2 linked regions of the Caenorhabditis elegans genome follow. The protein of the gene in region 2 purifies or fractionates together with the protein of the main gene of each other region. This does not show direct contact. Each region holds a gene or a part of one and is shown on either strand. Other genes may lie near its edges.

The links.
Region 1: the proteins of C14B9.3 (region 2) and fask-1 fractionate together in Caenorhabditis elegans (co-fractionation; one large-scale study listed by BioGRID). This does not show direct contact.

What each region holds. Positions count from the first base shown.
Region 1 is NC_003282.8:13,099,088-13,105,318, forward strand, and holds fask-1 (RAP domain-containing protein), read left to right. Parts: upstream 1-1,627; 5' UTR 1,628-1,628; coding exon 1,629-1,725; intron 1,726-2,162; coding exon 2,163-2,248; intron 2,249-2,294; coding exon 2,295-2,541; intron 2,542-3,137; coding exon 3,138-3,267; intron 3,268-3,318; coding exon 3,319-4,002; intron 4,003-4,758; coding exon 4,759-5,065; intron 5,066-5,119; coding exon 5,120-5,206; intron 5,207-5,254; coding exon 5,255-5,428; 3' UTR 5,429-5,540; downstream 5,541-6,231. Other genes in the region: tin-9.2 (Mitochondrial import inner membrane translocase subunit Tim10B), read left to right, coding at 36-150, 200-386, 437-443; exos-4.1 (Putative exosome complex component RRP41), read left to right, coding at 440-571, 628-1,038, 1,253-1,432.
Region 2 is NC_003281.10:8,107,005-8,112,007, reverse strand, and holds C14B9.3 (uncharacterized protein), read right to left. Parts: upstream 3,219-5,003; coding exon 3,132-3,218; intron 3,074-3,131; coding exon 2,935-3,073; intron 2,593-2,934; coding exon 2,492-2,592; intron 2,417-2,491; exon of another isoform or gene 2,274-2,416; intron 2,249-2,273; coding exon 2,112-2,248; intron 2,066-2,111; coding exon 1,926-2,065; intron 1,753-1,925; coding exon 1,652-1,752; intron 1,242-1,651; coding exon 1,121-1,241; intron 1,073-1,120; coding exon 852-1,072; 3' UTR 795-851; downstream 1-794. Other genes in the region: gei-8 (Nuclear receptor corepressor 1), read left to right, coding at 1-159, 213-391.

The sequences.
Region 1 (6,231 bases), on a different chromosome or scaffold from region 2:
AATCCTCTCCCGCGCATTTATGTCTTTAATTTCAGCTTCGTGAATTTCTAACCGTCTACAACACTCTCAGCGAACGTTGTTTCAACGCCTGCGCTCGTGACTACACCACATCAACACTCACAAAGGACGAAGGGTCCTGTGTCAGTCAATGTAAGATTTATTGTATTGTATAAACACGATTTTGTAATCAAAATTTCAGGTATTGACAAGCAGATGCTAGTGAACCGTCGGTTTATGCTAGTATTCGCAGAACAAGCACCAAAAGCACTTTTCAAGCAAGGAGAGCAATCGCCAACCGAAGCAATCAAATCCGCTAAGCCAGAGCCAGCGGTCCCAGCTCCAGAAGCCACTCCTGTTGAAACTACTCCAGTTATTGAAGAAAATAAGTGAGATTTTCCATAATTTCTTTTAAAAAATCACGAATAATCTTTTGCAGACAATGAACATCATCTCTGAACATGGTTTCCGTATTGACGGCCGCCGTCCCGCTCAGATTCGTAACATTAACACTCGTCTTGGCTTGAACAGAAATGCGGAGGGAAGCTGTTATCTGGAACATGGTAATACCAAGGTTGGTTTTTTTTTAAGTTTTGAATTTAATTTCAAGTTACATTATTCTCTTTTCAGGTTCTTTGTGCAGTTTATGGTCCGTATGAAGGCAAATCGTCAAAAAGAATCGAAGATAAATGTGCCATTGTTTGTCAGTATAGTGCAACAAAGTTTTCGGGACTTGAAAGAAAAAATCGTACACGTGGAGATCGAAAATCAACTGAAATCAGCAGACTTCTTGAGAAAGCATTCGAATCAGTTATTCTGACGGAAGCATTTCCTCGATCACAACTTGATATTTTCTGTGAAGTAATCCAAGGAGACGGCTCCAACCTGGCCGCCTGTGTCAATGCAACTTCTTTGGCTCTTGCTGATGCAGGAATCCCAATGAAAGGCATCGCATCTGCAGCGACGTGTGGTGTTGTCGATGGAAAACCAATTGTTGATCTTACTTCTAGAGAAGAAACTGATCTCCTTCCCAGAGTTACTGTATGTTTAGGCTGAAAAATTGTCTAATTTAATGAATTTTGTAATGAGACTTCTCAAAAATTGCCGTAATTTCAATATTCCGGGAACCGAAATCATATTTTGGTTGCTATTCTAAAAAAAAAAATGTCCAAAATTTTAAGTTATTTTCCGAAAAATCGGGAAAAAACACAAACTTTCGATTTTTCGTTAAAAAATAATTGCTTAAAATTTTCAGCTCGCCACAATCTGCGGTCGTGACGAAGTGATTCTCGTGGAACTTCAAAATCGTCTTCACATTGATCATCTTTCCACAGTCATGGATGCAGCGAAAGCCACGTGTGCTGACGTGTACGAATGTCTCGCAGTAGTTGCTCAGCAACATCTGAAAGCTTGTGCTCCGATTCTAGGCAATTAGCTGTTCTTTTTTTCTTATTCATTGTTGTTTTGAGTTGTTATTCCTTTTTTTTTAAACCCATTTTTTGCAGTCGATAAATCAGTTTTTTCAAATTTAATCTTAGAAATTTTGTAAAATTTTATATGTTTCCGTCTCATTTTCGTACTTTTCTTGTTCAAATCTTGATATTTTTTTAAAAAAATTGCAAATATCTAGAATGTGGAGCCGTGGATTACCCACGCTTTGCAGGACGATTCCGTGTCGTCAGTTTTCCGTCGCAGCTCAAAGTGGAGCTGGTCCTGCAGAAATTGATGGTAGGTGCAGATTTTTTTTGCTCTAAATGGCCAGAATTTTATTAAAATTGTCAAAAAAATTTCAAAAAATAGCTAATTTCCGCTAGAATCTCCAACTTGACCAACTTTAGAGCGGCCGGAAAATAATTTTAATTCGATTATTGTGCTACTTTGGTTTATTTTACGTTATTTCGTAAATTTAGGGTAATTTTAAGCAAATTTGGCTTTAAATGTACCAATTTTTACGAAAAAACATGTGATAAATGACCAAAATAAGACAAAAATTTAATAAAAGGGAAATTTGGCAAAATATTTGAAAAATTTTGCGAAATGTGAGATTTTAGCTAAAATCAAGTGTTTTTCGACATTTTTGAAGTTTCGCAATAAGCTTTTCGGGTTATTTTTAGTAAAAAAAAGTAGAATAATGCAAAAAACATCAAAAAATATTTGAATTCCAGATTTCCTCCATTCCATCGCCGCTGCTCCAACACAGAAGCTCGTGAAAAACAGAACTGTATTAGAAACTTCGACGGAATTTTTCAAGGTACTCAATAAGCTTAAGCTCCATTTAAATTGTTCAATTATTTAAGTGGCTCGAACAAAATCCCATAAAATCGATTGATCAATTCATCACAGCTGCACAAATGGCTATCACTGTGAAATCAACGGAACAAAATAAGGCGTTTTCGAAAATTGATGATATTGCGAAGAAAGTTCTGCCGAAATTCTATGAAAATTTTGGACCGAAGGAGACAGTGGATGCATTGCGATTTGTTTTGCAGCTGAATTCAAAGGGAAAAGTCTCGACGGATATTCAGAATTTGTTCCTTGAAAAAAGTATGATTTATCCAACAAAACTACTTATTTGAATATGATAATTCTACTTTTTTGATCTAAAATTGATTTTAAAAAATGTAGAAAAAGATTCGCTCCATCTGAAAATAATTTTTAGTTTTGTTGAAAATGAAAAATTGGAAATTTTGTTAGTTTTTTGATAATATAATGTTTAATTGACTTAAAAACACATTTTCATTTAAAAAAAATTCGGCAAAAATCGACGAAAATTAAGGAAACTCGTTGAAAACAGAAATCAGCATCTGATAAAGATTAAAATTCTCGTAAATCGACACATGGCTCGTCTCTGGCGCGAAAATTCGGCGTTTGAAAAATCTCATTTGGACGCAAGTGAAAGGAGAAAATTTGGAGTGATTCAAAAATATTTTTCTCAGATTTCGGTGCTCAACCTAAAGGTAGAGGTGAGGCCTAGTGGCCTTATTTAAATTTTTCAACAAAAAAAATTATTAATAATATTTTATCAGATGGAACGAATCCTTTTCATCAATTTTAGAAAAAAAAAAGTTGATTTTCAGTAGTATTGTGCGTTTTCCTAAACATTTTCCGAAAGATATTTCAAATAAAACGTAAAATTTCAGAAATAAGTCAATCCGATCTACAAACTGTTCCATTTGACACACTTGTGATGATCATTCGATATTCAAAATCTTCAATCGATCAAAATGTTATCGAATCTATTGCGACTTCATTGATTTCTAGAATCGAAAAGTAATTAAATAATTTAGATTTAAAAGCTCTATTTAATATCTAATTTTCCAGAGAACTGGCAAATCCTGCAGATCTCCTAGCAATTCTCGCCGGTGATGGATACGAAAAATCAAAATGGTTTCACAACGAAGCGTTCCTCAAAAAAGCCGAACGACTTGTAGCAGTAATGGGAATGGCTGAAAAATGTGCTCTTTTGAAGCATATGGCAGTGAATAAGCAAAGAAATCGACAGCTACTTGGAGCAATAATCAACGCGATTTCCAGTTCCAGTCAAGTTCTTACAGTATCACAAATTGTCAGTGTCACCGGCTCATGTTCTGCTCTCACCTATTATCCACCAAAAATTGCACGGAAAATCTCCAACGACCTCGAGAAAAATTCGAATGTTCTTGCTCAATGGGATGATGTGCTCAGCATTGCCGATTCATTTATTCGTATGAGAATGGGTGATCAAAAGTCATGGAATCTTCTTGTTCGATGGGCAATTGAAAATGTGAAGCAAGCACATCCGGCTCGATTGAGCAAATTTGTCTCCGGGCTCGCTAGAATTGGAGAACCATCTGGAAAACCGTTGGCAAAAGCGCTCAAACCATTTTTGGTGAAGGAAAAAGCTTCGACGCCCAACAATTGGCTGAATATCGTCTTTTCTCTTGCATATTTTCAAGAACTTGAAGCAGTTCATGCGGATTCGGTGCTCAATAAGAGTTTTGTAGATCAAATCATGAATTCAACAATGTAAGAAATTATTTGGAAATTGAAGAGGTGCAAACGCGCTCCAAATTAAAACACTCCGCAACTAAACGTTGGGTCTCGTTAGGTTTTCGGTTTTCCGATTTTTCCGAAAATTCAAAAATCAAAAATTTAGTTTTGCGACATTCCTAAACAAATTCGATTTTTTCGAAAATTGCTTAAAAATTTAGGATTTTTTTTTGAAGACAATGATTTTGATTTTTTTTCAAAATGAGCAAACAAATAAATTTTTATTATTAATTTTCGAAACATTTTCTAAAGATTTTTCGAAAACTCCGGAAAATCGATATGAATTTTATCTCAATTTCGACATTAAAATTATTAGAAAAAAAGTTTTTAAAAATTTTTTAAGTTAAAAGAAAAATATTTTTAAAAATCACAATATAAATTTAAAATGCTGGGAAACACGAAAAAAATGCCAATTTTTTTTTGCTTTTTCGGTTTTTGCTAGGGAAAACTAAAAATAGTCGATTTTGCAGAAACTCGAAAAAAATGCTGAAAATTTACCAAAAAATTCAAATTTTGTTTATGATGATGAAAAAACAACATATAATTTTTCCAAAAAAAGGCCAAAATGTGGTTTTTTTTCTCCAATTTTAGTTTTAAAAGTTGAAAAACTGACTTCCTTATTGTCAATACCTAACGAGACCCAAGGTTTAAGGGCGGAGTGTTTTCAAAAGGCATTTTTCTGCATCCCCATTTATAATATCAAAAATTGTCAATAATTTCCCAATTTTTCAGGGAAATTCACGATCGACTCCGAAAAGCGATGACTCTTCTAATGATCAGTTCAGCGGCTAAAGTTGATATGCAGGGAAAATACGAAGGACCAACAGTGAATAAGGAAACATTTGCTCGATTTGGAATCAATTTCGACGCGAAAACGATTCGGAACGCGAGGCAACTGAAATATTCGAGCAATCATTCAGAATGCGATCGATATTTTTTAAAGTCATTATTCAAACTTGCTCCACAAGATACTCATTGTCAACTTCCGAATGTTGAAGATTGTGGAGCTTTTGTCGATGCCTATGTTATGCCAGATCCGGTATATTATTTTCAATTAAAAAATATTTTTGAAAAAAAATGTTTTTTTTTTCAGAATTCCAACTTGCTAGTGAACACATCACAATGGGGCTCGAAAAAACCCAGGCCTCTATTTTTCTACGGATGGTTGCAAACTAAACAGGTAAGCATTTTCGAATCTCATAAAATCATATAAAATTCTAAATTTCAGAACACAGAAACGAGCGGCGAAATCAATACAGTTGGGCAAGAACAATTGGGACTTCGACTGATGCGTTCCGCTGGCTTCGATCCAGTAGTCGTCTTCAAAACGGAACTCGACTATTGCTCCACAGAAATTGATCAAGTGAATCTGCTACGGGATAAAATACATAAGAAGAATTAATTTTTTTGATAAAAGATTATATTTCTAGCGCCCCTAGTCTTTATTGTTTTGTTGTTATTCATTTTTATTCAATATTTTTTAGATTTGAGATTATAATAAAACAAATTTATAAAGGTTTCGATGAAATTTTAGAATTTTCTGTGAACTGTCTTTTGAACAGAATATGAATATTTTTGCGGGAATTTATTGTTTATTGATCAAATTTTATTTGTCTTTCCTGTTGGTTTTTTCTTCTATTTTTTCTTTTCTCTTGGGTGGCAATTTTCAGGTTTCAATTACAAATTTAAATAGTCTTATATTTAAGATCTTATCACGTGGTGTCAGAGTGTCTCATTTCGGTTTGATCTACATTGATCTACAAAAAATGCGGGAAAAGAGACGCAGAGTTCTCAACTTATTTTGGATGGTTAAGAACGTGCTGACGTCACTTTTTTTTCTGGCAAAAAATTCCCGCATTTTTTGTAGATCAAACCGTGATGGGACAGCCTGGCGTGATTATACGTGATTATATTTATACTTTTTTTTGTGACAATTTGATCTTGACCTCTGGAGGTCTCTACAAACGGTTTTGTCCACTTTCTAAAAGAAAAAACCGGGGAAAAACTAAAATTAAAAATTCACGCGCGTGACCCAATTTCGAGTGACATTCCGGCCCTGATCATTTCTTCTCTGATCATCTTTCTAAAATTCATTAAATTCATTAGTTTCTACATTTTAGTTCCTGAAAACTTGCTTCATTTCTTTTTCCAATCAACCAATAGGTCTCTTTTTTTTTAATTTTTCGATAATTTAAATTAATTTAA
Region 2 (5,003 bases):
CACCTCCGACTCCACAAGCTGTACATCATCCTGTTATGCCTATTATTCCTGGTAAACCATCATCAGTCAACTCAAATGTGTCAGATGTGTCTTCAGATGATGACGATGTTCGAAATCCTGAGAAGTTGCCAGCCAACAGATTGCCTCCTCTTCCAGGCGGTAAGCTTTTATTCCCACGAATTTTGTCAAAAAAAATATCATAATTTTTCCAGATAAAACAGCTTTCCGATCAGTTATCGATTTACGGGCAACCGGTCACGTGGCAGTTACCAAGAAGATTCCAGTCAAATATCCCTTAGTTGTTCAAGCTCAAAACGGGATTCAACCAATCAAAGATTACGGTCCACCATGCAAAAATCTTGTTTATGAAGACTTATCGGATGATGAATAGATGTTTCCTACCTCAATATTCAAATTTCCTTATACCATTTCATTGCTCCTATTTCTTTACTTAATCTCTTTCTTTCACTTAATCCATTTAAATTCCTCCCTTCAATGCTTTCCCTTTTTAACAAATACCCTTCAATAATTTACATTAAACTAGGGTTACTGTAGCGTACAAAGTACCGTATTATTTGTGTTCCATTCTCAATTGGGTTGAGTGGCACGTGTAAATAGTTACGAGTATCAATTTTCTTGTTTCTCCAACTGTCTCTCCTTCTCTTGAATATCATATGTGTTTGCGTGATTTCATTCAATTCTTTTTTGTCTTGACTGTTTCAATTGCTTTTTGTGAAATTATTTTTAAATATTTGGTTGTTTAATCGGTGATTCTTTTGTTTCTTTTTTTCTCATTCAACAAAAAACTGTATTCAAAATTAAATAAACATAATTGTAACTAATTCATCAATCTACAAGCTAAGAATCCTTCGTTGATTATATTCAAAAGCTCTGCAGTGTTCATATTTTGCTCCTTTTTTGAAATTAATTGGATCAATCGGTTCACACTCTCCACTGGACGATCGTGGGAAACAAATGAATGAAATGTTTCTAATATCGATTAGGAATGACAGATGAAACGTTGCATATGCAATAATAATGAAATATTCCATTAAAGCGAACAGTTGGGGCACTGAAATTAATTTGATTCAATTAAAAATAAGACAGAAAGAAAACTTACTATATGAATGACAAATTGGAAATGTGATAGAAGATTGATGATATTGCATATATTGTGGCATTAAATATACATAAATAACAACTGATATTAATTTCATGATCATTGATACAGTATCCCATTTCTGAAAAATTTAATTTGAAAGTTTGAATTAATATTAATTTTTATGGGGTTATTTTAGTAGTGTTCGAAAGTTTAAAAAAGTGTAGATTATTAGTGTATTTAGTATATAGTGTAGTGTAGATTGGAGATTTTATTCAAGCCACCAAAACATGTAATTTAATACATTTGTGACGTCATAAAGTGTATTTATTACTGTAGTACTTAGAGACGCATAACTTTTGTACGGATACGATGCGAAAAAATTTCGTGGTGAGACCTTTATTTTTGTTTTTGTGGATGATAAAATGTGAATTTCAAATTAAAACGTCAAAATTTAGCTTTCCTTTTGTAATCCTTTTAAATTTTTGAATCAGATTTCTGACTTCCAAATGCCAAATAAAAATGAAAATTGTCTTGTAATCAAAAACTCACACTTTCAGAATTCGACGAAAATGCAAACATAACCGTAGTGGTGGTCAGCATACTAACAACGGATGACATTGCAAATACAATTTTAAAGAAACGATTCGCTTCTGAAATTAAACGATATTTAGGTTAAGGGTCCTGTAACGAGTGGAACTTTTCAAATACAGTACCATTATTTGCTAATTTTTCTCGATTCAAAAAAGTTTTATTTCCTTTAAAAAACATCGTTATTCTGATAGAACATTTACTACAAAATGGATTTTTTAGCATCAGATTTTACCTGGAAAATCCTCATGTACAGTAACAATACTGAATAGGGACATCATGAAAGCTTCAACAAAAGTGAAAATTGGCATTGAATCCGCCATAACCTTATGTAATGATGAGAACTTTTTGTCGTACTCATGACGGAGAAGATTTCTGAAAAAGGCGTTGAGTTTGAAAAATACTTTAATTTTCCAATTACCTTATTGTAAGTGCATTGAATACTCTAATTACTATTGGTATACAGACTGCATATCGGAAAAGGACATTTCCTATCACGTTCAATTCAAAAAGATTAAGAATTGATGGAAGCCCATCTGCTGGAAATGGAATTGTTGTCTGAAAACAATTAATTGAAAATTTTCAAAAATATCTGCACGAAGTGGGATTCGAACCCACGCACCCATACGAGTACCAGAACACCCAGTTAACCTCGAACTTGAGGCAAGCAATGTACGCTTGAGTCTGGCGCCTTAGACCACTCGGCCATCCGTGCTTCGAGAGTAACAGCGGTCGAGAGCGTACACTTGTCACGGGTGTTGAAGGGGTGAGAGTCAAAGTAGGGGGAAAGGGGAGACTCACGTTACATCGAAAACGACTGCTGCCATATTCTATAACGTATCCTCGTATTAATTCTCGTTCATCAGGGATGTAGTCGGATTTTAGGGATGTGAAAATTCCTCCTGAAAATAAACAGCTAGCATTTTGTCTTTTTGTTTCTTTTTCAAAAAGTTGTTGCATGTAAATATTTCAACAAAACTCGAAGATTTTAAAGATTTATATTGTAGTTTTGCAAATTCTCTGTGCAATTATTCCCATGGTTAAACTGCAAAAGTACGTTATTCGGTTTCGATACGATCAAAACCTTTTCATTTAAGCCTGCGAAAAGAGTGTGTGCCTATAAGGGGTACAGTAACCCAAGCTATTGTTTGCTTCGCATTTTTCGTAGATTTAGTTTCTTTTGTTAGGTATAACCTAAAGTTCTAAACGAAATTTCTCAGAGATTCTTATTTATAATATCTTACCCACAAAACATCCCATTGAGATAACTGTAAATACAAGTGATGGTACAATAACTGGAAAATTCAAATACGCAATATCTGAATTATCATCTTCTGCATGTCCATACTTGAGCCTACGGTTGTCTTCTGTACTTCGAGGTACCTATAATTATATTTCTTATCCCTCAATTCATGAGACCTTTCTTCAAAGATTCACTTACCCGAATTGAGTTTTCATCTTTTCGATCTGCCGATTCGAATGCGTAGTTTGCATAGAAATCATCTGATGTCGACGCAACAACTGCCATCTTTAAATGAAATGTGTTCGTTTTTTGAACAAAAGTTGAACGAATACAGTGACACGAATAAGGGAGAATTGAATAGAAAAAACTTCATTTTTAGACCGTGACGATTTTCAAGAATTCGATGGAGAATTGCAAACAGTGATTGGAAAAAGTATTAGCGAATTTCACTCTAATAGGCGGAGTGTCGCCAGTGGGAGAAATTATTGAAAGCATTCATAATGACCAAATAATTTTAATTTTTTTTTTGAAAATCTTGTGTTTAAAAAATGGCGAGGCATAATTAATACTGAAAATGGGGTTAAAAACATATGTCCCCTACTATTGTGTTGTGTTGTAATTATTTGTATTTAGACATTCTAGGGGTTCAAGCCTGCACTCCACTTTTAATAGTTCTAAATATTATTTGGCATTAGGTAGACCGTCTTTTCAAAGGTCATAACTGAACGGCTAAATACAAAACGTAAAATTCCATATTATCGAGTAAATAGCTTGACAATCCTCAAGCAAAAATATCTAACCTTGAAAACCACAAGAACTTAATGTTTTCCCCGTGGAATGGACATTGAATGAAACAACAACTGATGAGAAACAGGTGAGATAGAGAGAGACTTCTTTTAGACTTTTTCTGTTAAAAGTGCGGAAGATAAGAAAAAGATAATGGATAGCTAATTGAAGTGATCGTTTAAATTAATTAAATTGAATTAATTGGCATGATCACTGAACCTTGAAAGTAAGTTGAAAGAAAGTAAGCATGCTCTTTTCAGAAGAAACATTCTCTGAGAAAAATTATGAAACTTCGTTAATGAAATTTTTGTAATTTTTGTTGTGGAAGACAGTTTGAAGCAGAATAATGCCGGAAATGTAATTTGTCAATTTTAAATCCATCTTAAAACAATTAAATAAATAAACTTAGATCAAAAAACATTTCAAAACATGAAAAGACCAAGATATGAACGGTGTTTATTTTTTAGAAAATTACATAATCGAGAAGATTGTGCAGATGTTTTTCAACGGTATTACCTTTATATAAGTTCTTAAAAGCAACGAGCACTGATAAGAAAATAAAAAATGACGGAACTTATAGTTAGGTAAACGTCCAAATAGACTCCTCCTTTTTCATGGTTTTTTGCATGTTCACAACAAATTTTCTAGTGTATTTAGAAATGATTCCAAAAGTTTTAAGGTAAACTCGCATAAGTGAAGATCAATTTTAATTTTGAAATGATTTTGTAAAGTACTTTCACAACAACTGAGACCAAACAGGTACTTGCGCCAAAAAGTGACCGCCAAGTCAGTTTTTTTGGACACTTTTTAGAAAGAGATCCAATAGAGAACAATGAAAATATGTAGAGATGATGAGACGTAGACAAAAGGTTAACAATAGAAGAAAAAAGAGAAGAATGATTCGAGAAATGAATATATCAGGTTATACAAGAAGACAAGAAAGCTAGCTGCTTATCATGCTTTGTTTCGAAATCGTAGTGTCCGGTCAATGTGATCACTTGGTTACCATCAGGGTATTATTTCTGAAATATATGAGCAAAGATTGAAGAATCTATTCTCAAAGTAACTAAAAGTTATCGGACTTCAAAACAAAACTCTGAAAACTTTTTGTTAGTCTAAATTAAGACAAGTCTGGAAGAAAACTGTCGTAATAAAATTTCTGTTGGTGTTTTATTGGGTAGTTAAAGATTATTTTAAAATTTTATTAGATGTAAAAATTATGTGGGGAGTAGTTTTCTTCCAATAATAAAATTCGTATTAATTTAATAAAACAAACATGTAGAC